3 linked regions of the Caenorhabditis elegans genome follow. The protein of the gene in region 1 interacts with the protein of each later gene in a pairwise test. Each region holds a gene or a part of one and is shown in the gene's direction. Other genes may lie near its edges. The genes, in order: bicd-1, ape-1 and dnc-5.

What was found.
Region 2: the proteins of bicd-1 (region 1) and ape-1 interact in a two-hybrid assay, tested with the Caenorhabditis elegans proteins (one large-scale study listed by BioGRID).
Region 3: the proteins of bicd-1 (region 1) and dnc-5 interact in a two-hybrid assay, tested with the Caenorhabditis elegans proteins (one large-scale study listed by BioGRID).

The regions. Positions count from the first base shown.
Region 1 is NC_003282.8:6,565,812-6,574,332, reverse strand, and holds the start of bicd-1 (Protein bicaudal D homolog), read left to right. Parts: upstream 1-1,996; 5' UTR 1,997-2,004; coding exon 2,005-2,205; intron 2,206-2,615; coding exon 2,616-3,092; intron 3,093-3,476; coding exon 3,477-3,614; intron 3,615-3,874; exon of another isoform or gene 3,875-3,895; intron 3,896-3,988; exon of another isoform or gene 3,989-4,009; intron 4,010-4,066; coding exon 4,067-4,259; intron 4,260-4,576; coding exon 4,577-4,764; exon of another isoform or gene 4,765-4,782; intron 4,783-4,848; coding exon 4,849-4,941; intron 4,942-4,994; coding exon 4,995-5,238; intron 5,239-5,407; exon of another isoform or gene 5,408-5,429; intron 5,430-5,929; coding exon 5,930-6,312; intron 6,313-6,415; exon of another isoform or gene 6,416-6,436; intron 6,437-6,819; exon of another isoform or gene 6,820-6,845; intron 6,846-7,094; coding exon 7,095-7,271; intron 7,272-7,511; exon of another isoform or gene 7,512-7,532; intron 7,533-7,984; coding exon 7,985-8,104; 3' UTR 8,105-8,521. UniProt on the Caenorhabditis elegans protein: Part of a complex with dlc-1 and egal-1, which is recruited to the nuclear envelope by unc-83, where in turn, it recruits dynein to the nuclear surface and regulates nuclear migration in hypodermal precursor cells.
Region 2 is NC_003283.11:11,673,771-11,679,175, forward strand, and holds the start of ape-1 (Apoptotic enhancer 1 protein), read left to right. Parts: upstream 1-2,167; 5' UTR 2,168-2,191; coding exon 2,192-2,251; intron 2,252-2,485; coding exon 2,486-2,617; intron 2,618-4,224; exon of another isoform or gene 4,225-4,429; intron 4,430-5,405. UniProt on the Caenorhabditis elegans protein: Negetively regulates apoptosis via its interaction with cep-1.
Region 3 is NC_003279.8:2,879,752-2,885,287, reverse strand, and holds dnc-5 (Dynactin subunit 5), read left to right. Parts: upstream 1-1,833; 5' UTR 1,834-1,847; coding exon 1,848-1,964; intron 1,965-2,926; coding exon 2,927-3,260; intron 3,261-4,263; coding exon 4,264-4,367; 3' UTR 4,368-4,412; downstream 4,413-5,536. Other genes in the region: arx-1 (Actin-related protein 3), read left to right, coding at 1,329-1,424; Y71F9AL.8 (Myb_DNA-bind_3 domain-containing protein), read right to left, coding at 4,433-4,519, 4,898-5,143.

The DNA.
Region 1 (8,521 bases):
TTATAAAGTTTTTGAAGATTTCGAAACCTTTTCCCTTCTTTCTTGATTGTTTTGTAAAGGATTTTTCTATCATAGAGCCGAGAAAATATCACATTAATTTTCTGTATTTTTGAATGAAGTCTATAAGACAAAGTTATAAATTTATAGAGATACTTTATGTATGTTTTTGAGATTTATTTTGTTACTAGATCTCAATTTTTCAATGGCATTTTAGTACTGTAGAGTGCAAGAGAAATCTAGCCTTATTCGAGAAATAAGTTTTTTACTGTTTATATTTTTTGATAAGTTTTTCAAAAATTTTGTTCGTTTAATGTACATCTTTTTTTTTAGTTCCAAGCGAAACACAATATTATTTTTCATACTGTAATACATATATTCGATTATTAATCAAAAATATTTTTTGTGTTGTTTAAAAAATTGTTTTTAAATTACAAGAAAAATTGCATGTCTGCAAAACTTTGATCGACTTCTGCAAATTTTTTAATAAGCTTCTACGAGTTTTACCCAACTGTTCTCTTGCATACGTAATTTAAATTTTTTCTCGTTTGATTTTTTTTTGTTATAATGACTAAAATGTTGTAACAAACCAATAAAAAAGAACACATAATAAAAATACCCAAAACAGAATTGGTTGGAAAAATATGCAATAGTTTGAAACATTACCCGAATTCTGAAAGGTTTTTAAAGTGAAGTAGCAAAATTTTTCAATTGATTGAAACATTAGAAAAGAGCCAAAACTTTCAAAAAATCTATACTTAGCGCTAAGACTGTCATTTTTTGTCGCAGCGTCTGGAAATGAATTGTTATAAAAGCATGATCAGTTATCACACTATTTTGTAGTATATTTTAAATTTATTGGAATACAAATGTTTCAAAATTTGAATGCCAGTAGAGTGCTTTAAACAATTCCGGAATAAAGACTCAAACTAGAAAATTAAGATGATAAATTGAAAAGTTGAAAAAAAGCCCGTTTCTAGATTTAGACTTTAGGAGAATGCGATTTTTAAAAATAATTTTCATCCGGCATAACTAAAAAATTTTCAAAATTTTCAAGAAATCACATTATGAAATTCGGCCATTTATGCTCATTTATAAACAATTGTAGTTAATTTTTGTACAATTTCTGTCGCTGAGTGCAAAAATAAGTAACCAAAGTCTTCAGAGCATTAAGGTAGTTTCGCCCAAAAATTTAAATTCTAGGTTTAAGCTTAAAACGAGAGCTATTCTTTGACAGTTATTACTCGCATGGTTAATATCAGTTCCTTGAAAATCAATCAATAACCCCAAAACCATATCATTTTATGTGACTAAACTTTCCTTCCAAAAAAAAAAGAAAAAAATGATCTGACTCATCAATTTCCGGTGATTTCCCCCGTCTTCCGTGCTCCACCCAGAACGGTTTGCGGAGGCATTAGAACAGTAGTCTCGCCCCGCATTTGTGTCGATTTTGGCTGCCGAGTGAACAAAAAAAACGAAACAGCACTCAATATTTGTGTCAGGTCAGCCACTCTTTCTTCCATTCTCTTCTATTTGTTTTTTGTTCATTTCTATTCCCTATTTCTCTCTATTCTCTTTAGTCCATTCTTCATTTCATAATTCTACTGAAACTAGTGTTACCTCTATCTCTAAACTCTCCTCTCAACCTGTACTATTTCTCTCGCGGGAGCCGAAAACGAAAACCTTATGAATATACAATTAGTTTTTCGACACCCTCTCCTAGTCGACAAAACGCAAATTTCCAAAATTGAACCTGTCGCACTAATATCTTGGAAATTTTGAAATTTACTTATTCCTGGTTTTGTTTAATTTTTGTTTTTAAAAGAAAATGTGGTCATTTGAGAACATTTTATTTAAATTTAAATTTTTAAATTTTTTCCTGTTTCAAATTGTAATTATTTCAACAATTTTTTAAAGGAATACTCAGTGAAGTATTTTTCCCCCTTTTTAAGTTATTTTCATGTTTGATATTTCCAACTCTCTAACATTTAAATTTCAGCAGCCACAATGGCTGAATCAGAATTGGAGAAGCTTCGTCAGGATATTGCAATCCTTACAGAAAAATATGAACAAGCCAAAGAAGATATTCATAAGGCAGCAAATGCGGGTTTAGAATTGCTCCGTCAAAAGGAAGATCTAGAGAAACGATTAGCAGAGATGCAGGCAGAATTGGATTTGGCAAGAACTGAAATTGATAAAACTAATCAGGTAAGTATTCGATTTCGAAAATAAAAATCGGAAAAAATATTGAAAAAAAATTAATGTTTCAAGTAAATGGTAAATATTCGAAATTTTTCGTACTATTTCATTTATTTTTAAAATATAAGCATGCAACTATCAAAAAAATTTTATTCAGACTTACGCAGGTAGGTAACAAAAATATAGGAAAATTTTTCACTTTTTTCGTTTTGTTGCAGTCATTCTTACCATTTTTTTTAAATATTTCATAAAATTTTGAACTGTAAAAATATAGAAAAATGAACAATCAACATTTTTGTCAGCTTACAATTTTTGATGAAGATGTATGAGCTGCCAAAATTGAGCTTAACAAAAGACTAGTAAAGTGTTAACAAAATTATTATTGAAGCTCAAGTTGTTCAAGTTGCTCTTATTTTCAGACTCTTGCTGAATACCGTTCCCAACATCAACGGTCCACTCGAAGTGAACTCGAAAATGAAGAATCTCTACTCGAGGAAAGTTCAGCAAAAGAAGAGGAATATCTACAGAGAATTGCAAAATTAGAAGCAGATCTTAAGAAAAAAGAACAAGAATTGGCAGAAAAGAAAGAAGAATTGGAAAGTATTGAAAAGAAACATTCGAAAGAAATCGATTCTGGAGCTGCATTAGAAGATGAAAGAAGAAAACTTAGAGCTGAATTAAAAGAAACAAAAGAAAGAGAACAAAGATTAATTTCTGAATATTCAGAGTTAGAAGAAGAAAATATTGGATTACAGAAGACTGTTGCAAATTTAAGAGGAAGTCAAGTGGAATATGAATCATTAAGAATTGATAATAATCGATTGGAAGAGACTATTGAAATTATGAAAATGGCTGCAGAGGAAGATGAAATATTAAGAGTTATTGCTGACAAACAGGTGAGACACTTTGAAAAATTACAACTCTCTCAGAAACTTTAACAAGTTTTCCTAAAAATATGTGAATAATTTCAAACATTTCCCTATTTGTTTGGAATTGCAACTGCAAAAACATTATGAAATTTTCATGTCTATTCACTATTTATTTTTGATCACGATTTGAATCGTAATAAATACAATACAATACAATACAAAATTTATTAGGTGATTGAAACAGTAAAAAAAACGAAAACTAGACAACTTTTATTTTAATTTTATAACCTGTTATTATTATTTTATAGCTCCCGTTTTTCATTGAAATTTTTGAACGGGTCGCCTCAATGTATATTTTCAAAACCTCAATTTTTGTATGAAAAACTTTCCAACTTATCATAAATATTTCAGCTCGAAGAAGCTCTGCTCACAGCTCAACAAGAACGGGATCAGCGATTGGCAATGAAAAGAGAATTAGAACAGACAAGAAATGCAGAGCATATCAGTAGTTTAAATGATATGCTTTTTGGATTGGAAAGGCTTGGGGAGGTTTGTTTTTTTTGTTAAAAAATTAAAACAATTAACTTTTAATAAAAGTTTGTTTTCCTATTTTAAAAGTTCCTGTGAAATTTTGTTAAAACACTTATATACAAAATGTCTTTTGTATACGTGAATTTTAAAAATACATTTGATAACTGATAATTTGAAACTAAACTTAACAAGTTGGGAAGAAAAAATTGCTCTTAAAGAAAAATGAGCTTCACATGTTTCGTATTCAATTTATATTGGCCAAGAGGAGTGTTGTAGGCTTGTTCTTTCGGTATCGATTTTTCTATTATTTAGTCAAATGTTATTTTAATATTTCTGTGTTCAAAAGGCGCATGAAATGGCAGAAACACTTGAATTAATTGTTGAATGAAAGTGTGGCACATGCTTTTAACGGACCACACGCTCAACACCAAACATTTTTGTATAAATCTTATGAAACAGTAATTTTTTAGGACGGCGAACTGCCACCTCCACAACCTGGAGCAAGTGACCTCTTCAGTGAATTACAAGGATCAAGTGATGTAAAAGTTCGTGAACTGGAAGCTGCAAAGGAAGGACTTCAAGAAGAATTAAAGAGCAGAGAGAAGATTTTCATCGAATTTGTAACCGGATTAGCAGACACCCTCAATATTCATAGACCAACAAGTGAGTTTAAATAGAACATTTCAGTTTGATTTGGAGTGTGATAAACCATTGAAGACATGGTGAAAAGTTATAACATTCAATTTTCACCAAATTTTTCAATGTTTCACATTCATTTCATATTGGTCAACGGTAGTATTGGAGTCTAGCGTAGATGTATGTAGTTTTTCAGAGTTTTCAGGGTTTTGGGTGAATAAAAGCTTCGCAAATTTCCTTTAAAATGAATATTTTATCATATTTACAATTAGTTATATTCAAAATTATTCAATTTTTAAAAAATTAGTTCCCCCGTGCATTCCCTAACAAAGTTTTCTTTACAGATGAGCTCGACTACATGCATGCTCGTCAACAAAAAGACGTTGTACTAGAGAAAATCCAGAACATTGCTCGTGACACTGACCGTCATGATAAAGAAGGAGAAGAAAAACGATCGGGAATTTTGAAGGCTGATTTGAGGACACTTGTATTGGTTGCTGGAGAGAAAAGTGCTCAGTTGGCAGCTGCTCAAGTTAGTTTTTGAATTAAATCATAAAAGTTTCATATTGCGAACCAAATTAAGAACATTATGAAAATGTAAATGTTGAAAATTCAGGACGCAATGATTCAAGTCTCCGATCAACTTTATCAATTCTACCATCAAATGACACAGAACCAAGGAGTTCAAACAGAAAAGAGTGTACAAGAGGTAAATTTTATTTTAATATTTATAGAAAATGAACAGAACTTTGTATATTTCAGATTGTGAAAAAGTTGCGTCTATTGGCTCGTGCCAATGCAGAAGACGTTCCACGTGTCTCGTTGGCAGATGAAGGAGTTGAAAGTGGAACAGAGACAGATGTTAATGCATCAAGATCAATTCCATTGAATTCCGATCGTCTTGTTATTGCGCCAAGTTTTGCGAAGGAAATTGAGAAAAAGTTGGCAAGTGTCAAGATTGGCGATGTGTTGTCAGAGACTGATTTGAGGCAAAGAATACTTACTGGTTTGTTTAGTTTTTGAATCGCAAAAAAGAGCTGGATACAAAACTTTTCCAAAAATGTACAAGTTTTAGAGAAGATGCTACAATTAAAAAAAACAACGAGATTTTACGAAAGACAAATAAAATTACTGTTTCAACCAACTTTTATCATAAATTGGGTTTATATTAGCTATTTGAGTCGAGGTTTCAACACTACATTGAATTTACTGTACTTACTGTATACTTAGTATACTTAGAATACTTACTGGTTTGTTTTTGAATCGAAAAATTCAAAAAAAGAGCTTTGCCAAAAGACAATTCTTCTTCAAATACTTCATTTGGTTGAAAATATTTGGAATGTCTAGCAATATTTAAATCGATTAATAGAAGCAGGAAAAATTTATTTTTTATTCGAATTAAATTTTTCAAGAATAATTATTAGTTTTAGAGAAGTTGCTGAAATAAAAAAAATTTTGGAAGATAAATAAAATTACTGTTTCAACCAACTTTTTTTTTCCATAAATTGGAATTCTATGAGCAGTATGTTTTTCAATATTGCATTGAATTTACTACTTTGTATCAAACATTCATTTAAGGTTTGATGGCGTTAAATTTAAAGAGTGATTAAGACTCTTGATATTAAACGTTACAACTTTCAATTTGCCAATATACATCTCATTCTCACATTCGAATATATTAAATACATTATTTTCAGAAGGAAATGCCATTTCCGAAACCACAGAATCGTTGAAAAAGATGATTCAAGTGGTGAAAAGAACCTCTGAACAAGCATTCAATCAAGCAGTTATGGCAAGTGGAGCTGAAAATGAAATTGAAATGCAGAATATGAAATTGCGAAGTCTTTTATCAACAAAACGAGATCAGATTTCAACGCTTCGAACTGTTTTGAAATCGAATAAGCTGACTGCTGAAAGTGCATTGACTTCAATGAGAGAAAAATATGAATCAGAAAAGAAAATGATGATGGAAATTAATGATAAAATGAGAAGAGAATTGAAACAATTGAAGGAAGATGCTGCCACGTTTGCATCTCATAGGGCAATGTTCACTGCAAGAGGAGAGGAACTCAAGTCAAAGGTATTTAGTTTTGTTTTGAAACAGTTAGGAATTTCTAATTTCGGGAAAAGTATAGCTTTTATAATATGACATACGGTAGCTCTGTTTAATTACTAATTCAAACATTTCCATTCCAGATTCCCTATTACAAAATAGATATACTTAAATTGTATCTGTAGTAGTTGAAACAGAAACTATTTTTAATATTTAAACTTTTTAGGGTTATTAACTTTTACTTTGAATTATTTTTCTCGTTGGAAAAAAAATCGTTTTCTCAAAATTTACAAATTTTTATTTGGAGTCAAGTTTCTGACCTGGCAGCTTAATGAAAATTTCTCAAGTTAGTTGCTTTCTCAACAGCTAAACGTTAACAGATATTGACTATAGTTTGACAGAAGTTGTCAAGTTTTTAAAGAAAGTTTCCCCCAAATGCCGAGTTGATAGATGCGATCATCTTCTAATTAAAACTTTCCGTAAATGAAATTACTGTTTCACAAAGGATTTATTTTGAATTGAACTTCATTTTAAGTTGATAGTCATAGGGGTATATCTAACCATTTTCTCACTTCTATTGTATCTGTAGCAGTTGAAACATACTTTTTTTTTAATTTTCATCTTCGTACAGTTTGTTTACTTTGAATTATTTTTAACATTTAAAACTCGATTTGTTTTTTACTTGAATTTAGTGTCTGAACTCTGAATTTGAAAAAAACATATGGTCAAAACGCAATATTTTATCACTTTAATCGTATCTGGAGTAGTATCTTCTGTAAATTTTAAAATCAAATTTAACAATTTTCCAGGTGGAAGAACTATCAAACGAGTTGCGTGCAAATGAAGAGGAAAAGAAGACATTAAATCAACTTCTTCGTTTAGCAATTCAACAGAAGCTCACATTGACTCAACGTTTAGAAGAGGTTGAAGTTGATCGGGATAGGCAGGTATTTAAGAGGAGTAGTACAAGAGCTCCAACTAGAGAGGTGAGATATTAAAGGTGTAGTATCGTCCAATGTGACGTCTTTAATGGAATCACTGATTAAAAACCATAAAAATTAAAACAGTCTTTTTTTTAAAAATTTTTTTAAAAATAACTTTTTTAAAGTTCTTTATGACCCATTTTCTCTAATTTGAAGAAAAATCTCAACAGACGATACTCCGCCTTTAATTATGTTCACTGTTTCAAAACATTCACAAAAAAATGTTGAAATTTCAAAAAGCAATGATTTTTTGATATACAGAACACATTGGAAGGCGGATTGTTTCTTTTGGGGAATTTTTTCGAAATTTATTTGATATGCCAAGAATAACAAAGAAAAAACGAAAAAAATTGGAAAATTTAGTTTAAAACGATAAAAAAAACCTTTTAACAAAGACACAAATCTTTCGCCAAACGTACAAAACTGCCTTTTTAATATGACAATCCAATCTTTTTAAATCTTCAATTGATTGGTATGGAAATGCAGAAAAAACTTTAATTTTGGTGAAAAGCTTGAAAAAATCTTGAAATAGTGCTCGAAAGTTGAAGTTTTGCCAAAAAACTTTACGCACTTTTAGCTACAAACGGCAATTTTCAAGCACTATGTTATGATTTTCTGGAAAAGTTTTCGACAAAATTAAACTTTTTCTTACTTTGAAAAATCCAAAAAAATTGTTTTTTTCTTCTAGAAGTTAATTTAATCTTCTCCGTTTTCAGACCTACCAGCCACCGAGAGCAGTTCGTTATCCGGGTTCAACAACAACAGCTCAACAGCCAGCACCTTCATCTTCGGGGGGCTCGAGGGGAGGGCCACGCAGGGGAGACAATCAGCAATAAGCTGGTGGTCAGGTGATGACGTGACAACGATGAGAAGACGACGAACACCTACACCAGAGGATCCAAATGATCAAGAATCAATTAATACACAAAACCACGTCATCACCACGTGGCCCTACGACCTGAAAAATGAAGAAGATCCCCAATTATTGATTGATTTAATGATGGAAGAGATGAGAGTTGAATCTGAAATTGAAAGAATGCGATTAGCACTTAAAGAACAAGAATCGATATTCGCTGATTGTCAATTTGTTATTGCTCTTTTCTCACTTCCACCAATTTTGATTTATCTGGCTGTTTCTGTTTTACTCTTCCCGCCAATGCTATAGAAATCAGCAACATTTTGAATTTCCATATTTTCTACTTTTTTTCAAATGTTTGTTAAGTCAGATTTGGCAGCCGACATTTCACGGGTTA
Region 2 (5,405 bases), on another chromosome or scaffold:
ATTTTTTTTTCTCCCTTTTCGGCGAAAAAACCGAAAGAAAAAGTTTTCCGCACCCTTGTGGGCAAAACGATGAGCTCGCTCGTTTCGCAGGAGAAAAGAGCGCCGAAGGTATTTACTTTTTGGATGTCTAGCTTTCGCTTTCTGTGATAAAGATCTCACCTATAGCGCAATATTTCAATCATTTCCGGCGATCAGTTCAGAAATGACGTATTTTCATATTTCCCTCTCTCCGTCTCTTCTGTCTTCCTAGTCACTCTCTCTCATTAGAATAACGGTCGCTCTCCTCTGACCTTCTTGCCCTCACAACAAACGCACACAAATATCCTTTTCTTTTGCCTGTATTCAACAGAACCGATTATGCTCTGCGTCTCTTCAATCAACTATGTCTCTCATGTGCCTTTTCATTCTGCGTATCTTCTCTCTAATGCACTCCCGTGCTCACCTTTTCCGTCCCTCCATTCCTGTACTCACATCGTTGACACGCCCGAACGGTCGAACGGTCCGTATGAGAAATTGGTTCAGCCAGCTTCCTTCTTTCTACCTTTTTTTTGTTTATTTTGGATAAGGAACTCTGAATTTTAATTTTTACTTAAAATATTTAAACGGCTTTCAATTTACTTTTAAGTTATTGACAAAGAAAAACAATCATTGAGCACATTTCCAATAGAAAGTGCACTCTTCTTGTTCCCACTTCAAACAATTGAAATGTGCGGGAGCAAAAGCTCCAATTCGCTTCTAGTTTTCTCCTTGTAGCGAACAAAACAATGATGTTCTTTTCATTTGGACAAACTTGATTTGTAATTTTATATAATCGATGCAATTAAAAAAAATTTTCTCTACCGCGAACCTATTTTAAAAACTCAAAATAAAATCCTGAATTAAAAGAACCGGAACATTTTTACTTTTTCCTTTTCGTTTCCTGATGACCATTCGAGTTTCGTTAGTGACAAGAGAAAGAATTTGTCGAAATTGAGTTTTCTCCTCTTCCTTCCACTCTTTTGTGCTTGTTCTGCTTCCGAAGCAGCCAATTCTCGACTGAATAGGCCACTTTCGGAATTATTTCAAGTGGACCTCTTCCTTCCTCTATTCATCATGCACTCTTCTACTTCTGCCCCCATTTTCGCTCAATTGTCAACGATTTGATCATCAGAAAAATAATTTTTCGCAACTTCACTTTTTACGGACCATAACTAGCAACCCACATTTACCGGTGTTCTTCTCCTATTTTTGGTCGTTAATCAACCGGTGATCCATTTCAAGGTTGATGTCCCCGATCTCTTTTTCAATGTCTGTGTATCTCTCATTCTACACCGAAAGCCGTTTTGGCATTGTGCCAAGTCTCTTTTTGAAGATATGTGGTACGAGACTGTGAGAAATAAGAAAAGTTTGTTGATAATAAACGAAGCGAATAGAGAGAGGCACAGAGGGACGACCCCAATATCTAAGAGGCCGTGTTTACTTTGGCTCGTCGTCATCTTTCGAACCAACACATGCATACGCTCCCTTGCGCGCGCGCTCCTCTGATCATTCAATCGCAGGTCCTCCTTCTCTTCGTTATTTTTGTTACGGCTCGTTCTTTTTTACGTTTTTAGCATGTGAGGCGTTTTATCAGCAAGTTTGAAGTTTCAGCAAAATTTCATATGTAAGTTATTAACACCTTATCACTGATTAAACGGTATTATTACGAAATGATAATAATTCGTAATTAGATACAGAAAACTATAATAACACGGCTACTTGATAATTTTCATTGTTATGTTTTTGGACTCTCTCCTGATTTTTCTGTTTCAATGGTTCAATTCCTCTTTGATCATTTTTAATGGCGGTGAAATATTATTTTTGTTCTATAATATCTTCAAACCACCGTGTTAATGTGAAAAATTAAAAGAAGTTTGTTTTTATTTTGAAAAATTGAAAATTGTCATAAATTTCACGAAAAAAAACGGTCGAAATTCTCATTTTGGAAATTCAAGCATGGAATTTAGCCAAAATTTAAAAATTCAATTTTTCGTTGTTCTTCGATTTTATTCGTTCTTCTTCTGTGGCATTTCTGAATTTTAGACAATTTTGGATTTTTTAAAGAAAAGTTCAGTATTACGATTCACGTTTGCTCTTTGTCATTTTCTCTCAATCCTTTCAAACAAAATTATACTAATCTTCCCTCCATTTTCAGATCTCAGTTCTCAACGAGATGGTCACGACCAGTAGCGGAGGGGGTATAGGGTACCCGGCAAACAACGGTGTCACACAGGTGAGAATCGAGATTAATTATTTTTCAAATTGTTACAAAAAGGGATTGATCTATTTTTGTAAATCTTATATTCACGTGATTCATGAAGTACGTGAACTGTGACGAAATCATAATTTGTTTAAAAAAAAATCTAAAAATAAAAATTTCAGTGTCGATAAAAATTTTTCAAAAAATATTTAAGGTCTACTGTTAGATTAGCAGATGTTTGACGATTATCCATTTTTCATATTCCAGGTGTCTCTGATTCACTCGTCGGATTCTGTACGAACTGTTTCAACTGCCCCAATATACCGTCCGACGTCATCAATGGCATCTACGATGGCTCATAAATCTTCGACGGCTCCGTTCATCTCCGCAAATCAACGAGTTAGTTTTTTTTGTTTGAAATGAAAAAATGCGGAACAAAATTTTCAAGAAACGGAAATGCTATTAAGATTTTATTAGAAAAAATTGAAAAAGAAAACTCGATAACGGAAATTCTTCATATAATTCAATTGGTTTCTCCCTTCATCTCAACAATCCGTTTGATGGATGATGGCTAGGTTCTGATAATTTGTAGTTTTTTTGCGGGGAGAGTAACGGAATTCTTTGAATTTTTGCATCTCACGCAATTGTATCATCACCTTCCCAAAAAAAGATAGTCAGAAAAGGAGAGAACACCTCAATAGCGTATCTTAGCGTAGAAAAAAGTCATCTAATTTTGATTTGAAGTGTCACGTTTTGTTTTTTTTTTTCTGCCGGGCCATAAGTCAGGTAGGCAGACATCAACGCATCACAATCGCCATAAAATAATGATAAAAATATTATATTTTAAGATAGGTCCTGGTTTGAATTGGTTAAGATTGTCGAAGATCAGAAACGGATAGGAATGCATCAGAGATTATTAGTCTCGCGTGATACCTTCAGATGGATCAAAATGACTTGCTTTTTTTAGTTGATCGAGATTGATTCGGAAAAATTTATACCAATCAAGTAAATTTTTGATGGAAATAAAATCAGTAAATTTTTGATTCAGTTCCAGAATACTCGGAATATGCCTACAAACTGAAATTTCCCAAAAGAAAAATAGAAAAAATTAAGAAAGATCAAAAATTCCAATTTTCAAAAACGCTCTTTTTCAATTTTTTCCCTATTTTAATTTCCTCCAAAAATAAAACTGCGATCAATCAGCATTTCGCTCCGCCCACTTTTTTACCAATCAGACGAAGACGCTGATTGGTTCGAAACTGGGTGTGGCTTCGAGATATGTAAATTCACACTTTTCAAAGTTGGAATTTTTGATCTTTAGTAATTTTTTCTTTTTTCTTTCGTGGTATTTCAGTAAATTGGAATTTTCAGAGTTTTCTAAAAATGTATCCCCATTTTTCGAAATCCTCCTTTAAGATTATCAAAAACATTTTCATAAAATAGTTTAGTCAATATAAAAATTCAAATTCCTGATGATAAATAGTCTTTCCATAGGTTCACGACCACTTTTAGTTTAAAAATTTCTCTTTTTTATCTTTCGGTACCTAATCACCACATATCATTGATAGTAGTGAGTGCTCTTCGTGGATCGGTCAATTGAAAGAAGATGCCAATTGGCGTTCTCCCCTTCTTACTTTTGCCCTCCACGAAATTGAAACAATTTTCTCATCATCTTCATTTTCTTCTTCTCTCGTAACAGAAAGTCTGACCTTTGAAGAGAGACACAGAAAGATAGACGAAGTATTCGTGTGCGTACGCCGTACGCGCCTTGCCGATTAACCTCGATTTATCATTCAAGCTTTCCCCTATATTGGATTCTCCGACTTATTTCTTCATTTTAATTCTCTTCTATTTTTATTTTCTTGACCCACTGGCCAAAAGCTCTTCGTGAATATTAAAAAGTAAAAAAAAGTTCCTCCTCTAGCGTACACGAATATTTTTTGTTGATAATAGACAACAACTGTTTTATTTTTGTTTAATTATTTTATCAAAAAAAATCTGTGGCTGTGAAGGAAAGATCGCCAAAAAAAAACTGGTCAGTCGATTAATTTTCGATTATAAATTTTGTTTTTTTTTTTCACTTTTCACTCACTTCCTTCTCATCGTTGCATAGTCTTGCGCACGTCGGCAACGCGTATTACAACTAAATTAATTGCGCAATTGTGTGAGTGAACGCGTGTGTGAGCGTACGCTTCTCTCGGCTTCTTCTCTTTCAATTCCATCATCTTTCTATGTTGTCGTCGTAGAGTCGCATAAAGTTATAGATGTTATTTTTTTTCTTGTAGTGTAATCGAGACTGTCGTCAAGTCATTATGCATAATGATATGTATTACGTGTTAAGCGTTATTATTCTACAATTGTAAAGTATTTTTTCATCTTCGCGAGGCTGTCGGTGACTGTTCAATGATTGTTGTTGTAGTATTTTATGACAGAAGATACTATTCTATGGTGGCAGCCACTACAAATAATGCCATACTCTTTAAAATATTCTTGAAAAAAAACTGATTAGAAATTTTGAGAATCGCTTCATTTAAGTAAAACATTTTTTTTTGATCGGTCAAAATGGGATACATGTTTGGTTCGCCGAAATTTTTCTTTACTCTCTTCCGGTGTTTAATGTTCATTTCTCTTCCGGTGGCCCGAAAGAGTTCTAAAGCTAAAATGTGACATGTGATATCATCATTTTGAAAACACTTGTTTTTTTTTATCTTCCGTTCGCCAACACGACTTTTTTCTTATTACCACATCTGATCCAATTGAAAGGGAAACCGATTTAAGTAATATAAAAGTCATCTCTTGCATAGGTTTGAAGTGTTGAAGTTTTGACATTTACTTTTTCATTCTGTAACTTTTCGTCGACCAGTTGAATCCTTTTTCTATTCCGTTAAATACATTCAGCTTAGTTTCATGCTTTTCAATACACCAACAACCATCAACACAATCGTTGTCCGAATCGCCTCAGTTTGGTATGCGATTTAATGCGAATTGTCGGTGACTGTCGTAGAAATTAAAATCAAAACAGATTTTCTTCTATTATTTTATGTTTGCTAAATTCCTCAATAGTTTGTTCAAAAGCGTCTTTCGTTTGTTTTGAATTAATTTTTAATTCACTCTTTCTTCTACTTCATTATTAATTTTGTGCGAGAAGTTCGTCAGATCATCATGAGGGCGCATAGACACAACATTT
Region 3 (5,536 bases), on another chromosome or scaffold:
TAAAAAAAATGAGCATAAATTTTGAAAATCTCAAAAAATTGCTATTTTTTCCGAGAAAATGCATTTTTGACCGAAATTTTGGTACTTTTTTTGCAAAAAATATCAATTCTTTCGTTGAAAATAATTTATTCGAAAATTTGAATGAAAATTAAACTTTTTCACTAAAAAAAACTATATTTTTTGAATTTCGTAAATTTTTTAAAAAAATCGATTTTATTATTTTTTACTAACCAACTAATTTTTCCAACAAAAAAAATTTAATTTTCGATTTTTTCTGTAAAATTCCCAAAAATAATTGATTTTTTTTGAGAAAAATTTCAAAAATTCGGATTTTTATTCGAAAAATTAAAAAAAAAAGTTTTATTCAGAGCTTCGAATGAAATTTCTGAAATTTGTATTCCAGTTACCTCAACAAATTTTTAAAAATTTATATTTTTAATTTTTTGGCAATTTTTCAAAACTTTTTAAAACTCAAAAATATCCAAATTTTCAGTCGGAAAAAAATTGAAAATTTTATTTTTTTTTTGGAAATTTTTGAATTTTTATTCAGAATAAAGTCATAAATTCCCCCGAAATTTGAAAGTGAAAAAAATCAAAAAAAAAAAAATTAGATTTCGAATTTAAGAAATAAAAAAATTTCACTGAAAAACTATGGTTTTTGAAATAAATAAAGCACTATTTCTGAACAAGTTTTGAAAATTCAAAAAAAAATCGATTTTTACTAGCCAACTAATTTTTCCAAAAAAAAAATCTAATTTTTGATTTTTTTTTCTTTGAAATTCCCAAAAAAAAGTCAATTTTAAGTTTTATCCGGAAATTATATTTTTAATTTGTTTTTCTTCAAATTTGCAAAACTTTTTGAAACTCAAAAAATTGAAAATTGTTTTTTTTTTTGGAAACTTTTTAAAAAATTTTTATTCAGAATAAATTAAATTCTCCCGAAATTTAGTGAAAAAAAACTGTAGATTTCGAATTTAAATTAAATTTTAAAAAAATCGGTAGAATTCGAAAAAAAACAAATGTTTCCGATTTTTTCCAAAAAAAAATCTAATATTTGATTTTTTTTTTTGAAATTCCCAAAAAAGTCAATTTTAAGTTTTTGAGAAAAAATTGAAAAAAAATTTTATTCGGAAATTATATTTTTAATTTTTTTTTGGCAATTTTTCGAAACTTTTTGAAACACAAAAATAGCCAAGATTTCAGTCGGAAAAAATTGAAAAATGAAATTTTTTTTGGAAACTTTTTTAAATTTTAATTTAGAATCAATTAAATTCCCCCAAAATTTAGTGAAAAAATCACCAAAAAAACTATCAATTCCAAATTTTCAGTCGGAATTCTACCAAGTTTCACACACAAAGGCCGAATACATGGAGAGAGGACCATCGATTTGTCGTTACAATCCAGTTTTCGGAGCTCTTACTTAATTTTTTTTCTCCATTTTTTTGTATTTTTTCCCTATATATTTTCTCCAATTTTAATCCCTTCTCCACGTTTTTTTCTCTCTAATTCCCGAAATTTTTGAACACACATTTCACTTTTTTTCATCTTATTCTGGGCGATTCGTGTATGTACTTATTATTTTTATTTCCAAAAATTACCAATTTTTTAAAACCTTTTGAACGAAAAAATTCTCGAAGAAATTTGATTCCTGCGCCCCCAATTTTTTTTCTTAAATTGTGTTTTTTTGCATGACTATTGCTTTAATTTATTCCCCCGTTATATATAAATTCCCTTATTTTTGTAGTCTTTTTGGAGAAAAATTCCGCTCGATTTGAAAAAGTAGAACTCTTTTGTGATATTTTTGAATTTAAAAAAAAACTAGAAAAATTTCAGACGCTGATTTTCAGATGGATCTTCCAATTGTCTACTACGATGAGACGGAATGGGCGAAGACGCATACGGGAAATAAAGTGAATAAGAAGCATGCAATTGCTGGAACACAGAATATTTTAATTGCTGGAAAAGTGAGAATTTTTGGAAATTTTTAGAAAAAATTCAGTGTTTTCCAAGTATTTTGAAAAAAAAAAGAAATTAAAAAAATAGCGCAATATAATTTTTCTAGATTTTTGGAATAAGCTATACAAATTTTTTGGCAAATTCGGCAATTTGCCGGAATTTAAAATTTCTGGCATATTTGCCAAACCGGCAATTTGGAAAAAATTTAAATTTTCGGCAAATCGGCAAATTGGCAATTTACCAAAACTTAAAATTACCAACAGTTTGGCGAAAATTAAAATTTCTTGAAAATTCGGTAAACCGGCTGAAGATGAAAATTCCGGCAAATCAGTAATTTTCCGAAAATGAAAATTTCCGGCAAATCGGCAAGTGGGCCGGAATTGAGCATTTTAGGAATATTCGGCAAACCGGCAAATATGCCAAATATTCAAACTTCCGGCACACTGGCAATTTGCCAAAAATTAAAATTTCCGTAAATTTGCGAGAAAAAAAAATTTCCGGCAATTTTCCAAAAATTAAAATTTCCGACAGACCGGCAATTTTCCGAAAATGAAAATTTCCGGCAAACTTGACAAACCGGCAATTTGCCGGAATTTAAAAATTCCGGCAAATAGGCAATTTGACAAAAATTACAATTTTCGGCAAATCGGCAATTTTCCAAAAATGAAAGTATTCGGCAAACCGGCAATTTTCGAAAAATTGAAATTTTCCGGCAAATAAGCAATTTGTCAAAAATTGAAATTTTCGGCAAACGACAAACCGGCAATTTGTAAAAATTTAAAATTTCCGGCAAACCGGCAATTTCCCAAAAATTCTAATTTTTGGCAAATTCGGTAAACTGTCAAGTTGCCAAAATCTAAAATTTCCGGCAAATTCGGCAAACCGGCAATTTTGGTACACCGGCAATCTGCCAAAAATAAATAGCCGCCCACCCCTGATTTGAAACATCAAAAAAAGTGAAATTTTGCAGACAATAATCGAGGAAGGAGTGACAATTCGCGGTGATCTGGCGACAGTTAAAATTGGAAAATATTGTGTTCTAAAGTCTCGATGTAACATCCGTCCATGCATGAAAATATTCAGCAAAAAACCAACAATGTGCAACGTTATGATTGGTGATTATGTATTTATTGAAGAAGAATGTGTCGTCAATGCCGCTCAAATCTACGCATTTGTACATCTTGGAGCTCGTGCGGTGCTCGGAAATGGTTGTGTGATTCGAGAATGTTCGAGGGTTCTTCCGGATACTGTAGTTCCAGCGGACGCACTTTTTCCACCGTACTCAACGATCGGCGGGAATCCTGGTCAGTATGCCGTCGAAAAAGCGAAAATTTGAAATTTTCCTAATTTTTTTGAGAGCCGGAAAATCGAAAAACTGGAAAAAAAACGTTTTTAAAAGCACAAAAATTGCCTGTGATGATTGAAAAATTGGAATTTTGACGGAAAATCGAAAATTCCTAATTTTTCGAACTTTTTAAGTAGGAAAAATCGAAAAAACTGGAAAAATTGAGAAATTTCTTTCAAAAAACATTTTTAAAAAAACTGAAATTATTGAAAAATTGGAATTTTGGCGAAAAATCGAAAATTATCGATTTTTCTTATTTTTCTTATTTTTCTGAGCTCCCTAATTTTCAAAAAATGGTAGAATCGCTGTGTACTCCCCGAGGAGAAGTTTTAATTTTATTCTACAGTAAATTTTCAGTTTTTGACTCGATTTTTTTCATTTTTGGACCATTTTAGGCTTTTCAGTTTAAAAAAGGAAAATTAGAAAAAATTTAATGAAGATTCAATTTTTATTTTAAAAAAACACATTTCTTTGAAAAAAAATGGCCGGATATTATCGAAAATTTGAATTTTTTACCAAAAAATCTGAAATTTTTTTTTGGATTTTCTAGAAAATAAAACTTTCAGAAAAAAATGCAGATTTATCAGAAAGAATTTCTCAAAAATTTGAAAAAAATTTCCGAAAAATCGTACTAATCGAAAATTTAAAGTTTTTTTTTTAATTTTTAGAAAAAATTAAAATTTTCAATAATCTCCGGTAGTTTCTTAATTTTTTTTGGAAATAAATGTTCTTTAAATTTCTCGATTTTCAAAAAAAAAATTTTTTTTCCAAAATCGATCATTTTTGCTGAAAACTGATTTTTAAAATTTTGAAAAAAAAAACCTCCTCGAGGACTACACCGGCAGTTCTTCCATTCTCCAAGAAATTTTTGAGCCGCGAAAAGAAAATGAAATTTCCGGCGAATTCGGCAATTTTCCAAAAATTGCCGGAATTTTTCCAAAACAAAATCAACTCTTTTTCAGCTCAAGTGGTCGGCACTGAACCCCGTTGCACCGAGAACCTGATGATGGAGGCCATAACGATGTACTATGATAATTTCGTACCGAAACAACGAGCTATCGCATAATTTTATTGTAAATAAAACGGGATGATTTCAATAAATAATTCTTAACATTGGAGGGGCGAGCATGATCAACAATGAACAATATAAAGTGGCAACAATTTGATGGACATTTCCAAAACTTTGTTCATTAGCAGAATGTAGTTGTCGGTGGACTCCTGGAAATTTAATTTTAATTTTTTGAAAGGATTTTAATTTAAAATACTCAAAAACTAGTCCCAAATGCCAAAAAAGAAAAAAAAACGAAAAAATTCGGATTTTTTACGCCTAATTTGAATTCTCGCGCTTTTGTCTCTAAGTTCCGCCTATAAAAACCGTGCCGCACTCTGGTTTTTTCAATTTCGACACAGATTCCTGTTTTTTTTTTCTAATTTTCAATAATTGTTTAACATTGCTGACCGTATTCTTAATTGAAAATTAGAAAAAAAAACAGTGCGGCACGGTTTTATGGGCGGAGTTTAGAGACAAAAGCGCGGCGATTCAAGTAAAAAATTCAGGTAAATCGAGAAGTTTTCAATTTCTCGGAATAAACTCACATCAACACAAACTGTCACATAATACTCAAAAAATTGGAAAAAGCAAAAAACGGCACGAATGATATGCTGATTGGTGAATCTTTTGTGTAGCTCTTCGCGTATTTTACGGAAATATTGCATGCGAAGGTGGTTTTCAGTGAACTTTTTGACATCAATCATTATCCAATCGGCTTTATTTGGATCGTCGAACATTTTTCCGTACAGGTGGTCTAGATTTTGTTGGTTCTCGAGTTCAGCGAACATTTTCTGAAAAAAAAGAAACTGTATTTTATACGAAATTGTGTCATTTTTAGGGCCAAAAATTCCAAACCAATCAGCGAAGGTGGGCGGAGCCAGGCGCTGATTGGTTTGAAGTTCCTCTCCGATTTTTAATTTTTTTTTCCAAAAAAAAAACGAGAAGTTCCGTTTTAAGTGTTTGCTTAAAGCCAAAAACCGGAAAAAAATGTTTTTCTTTTCTAATTTTCACAAAATCAAAGAAAATTAGTGTTTCTCTTATTATCCAGACGCGAAATTTCGCACCAAAAATACGGTAGCCGGTCTCGACACGAAAATTTTTGTCGAACACAAAAGGGTTTGCGCCTTTAAAGAGTACTGTATTTTCAAACTACTCTTTTCTGAGGAGTTTTCATAGCTTTTCGA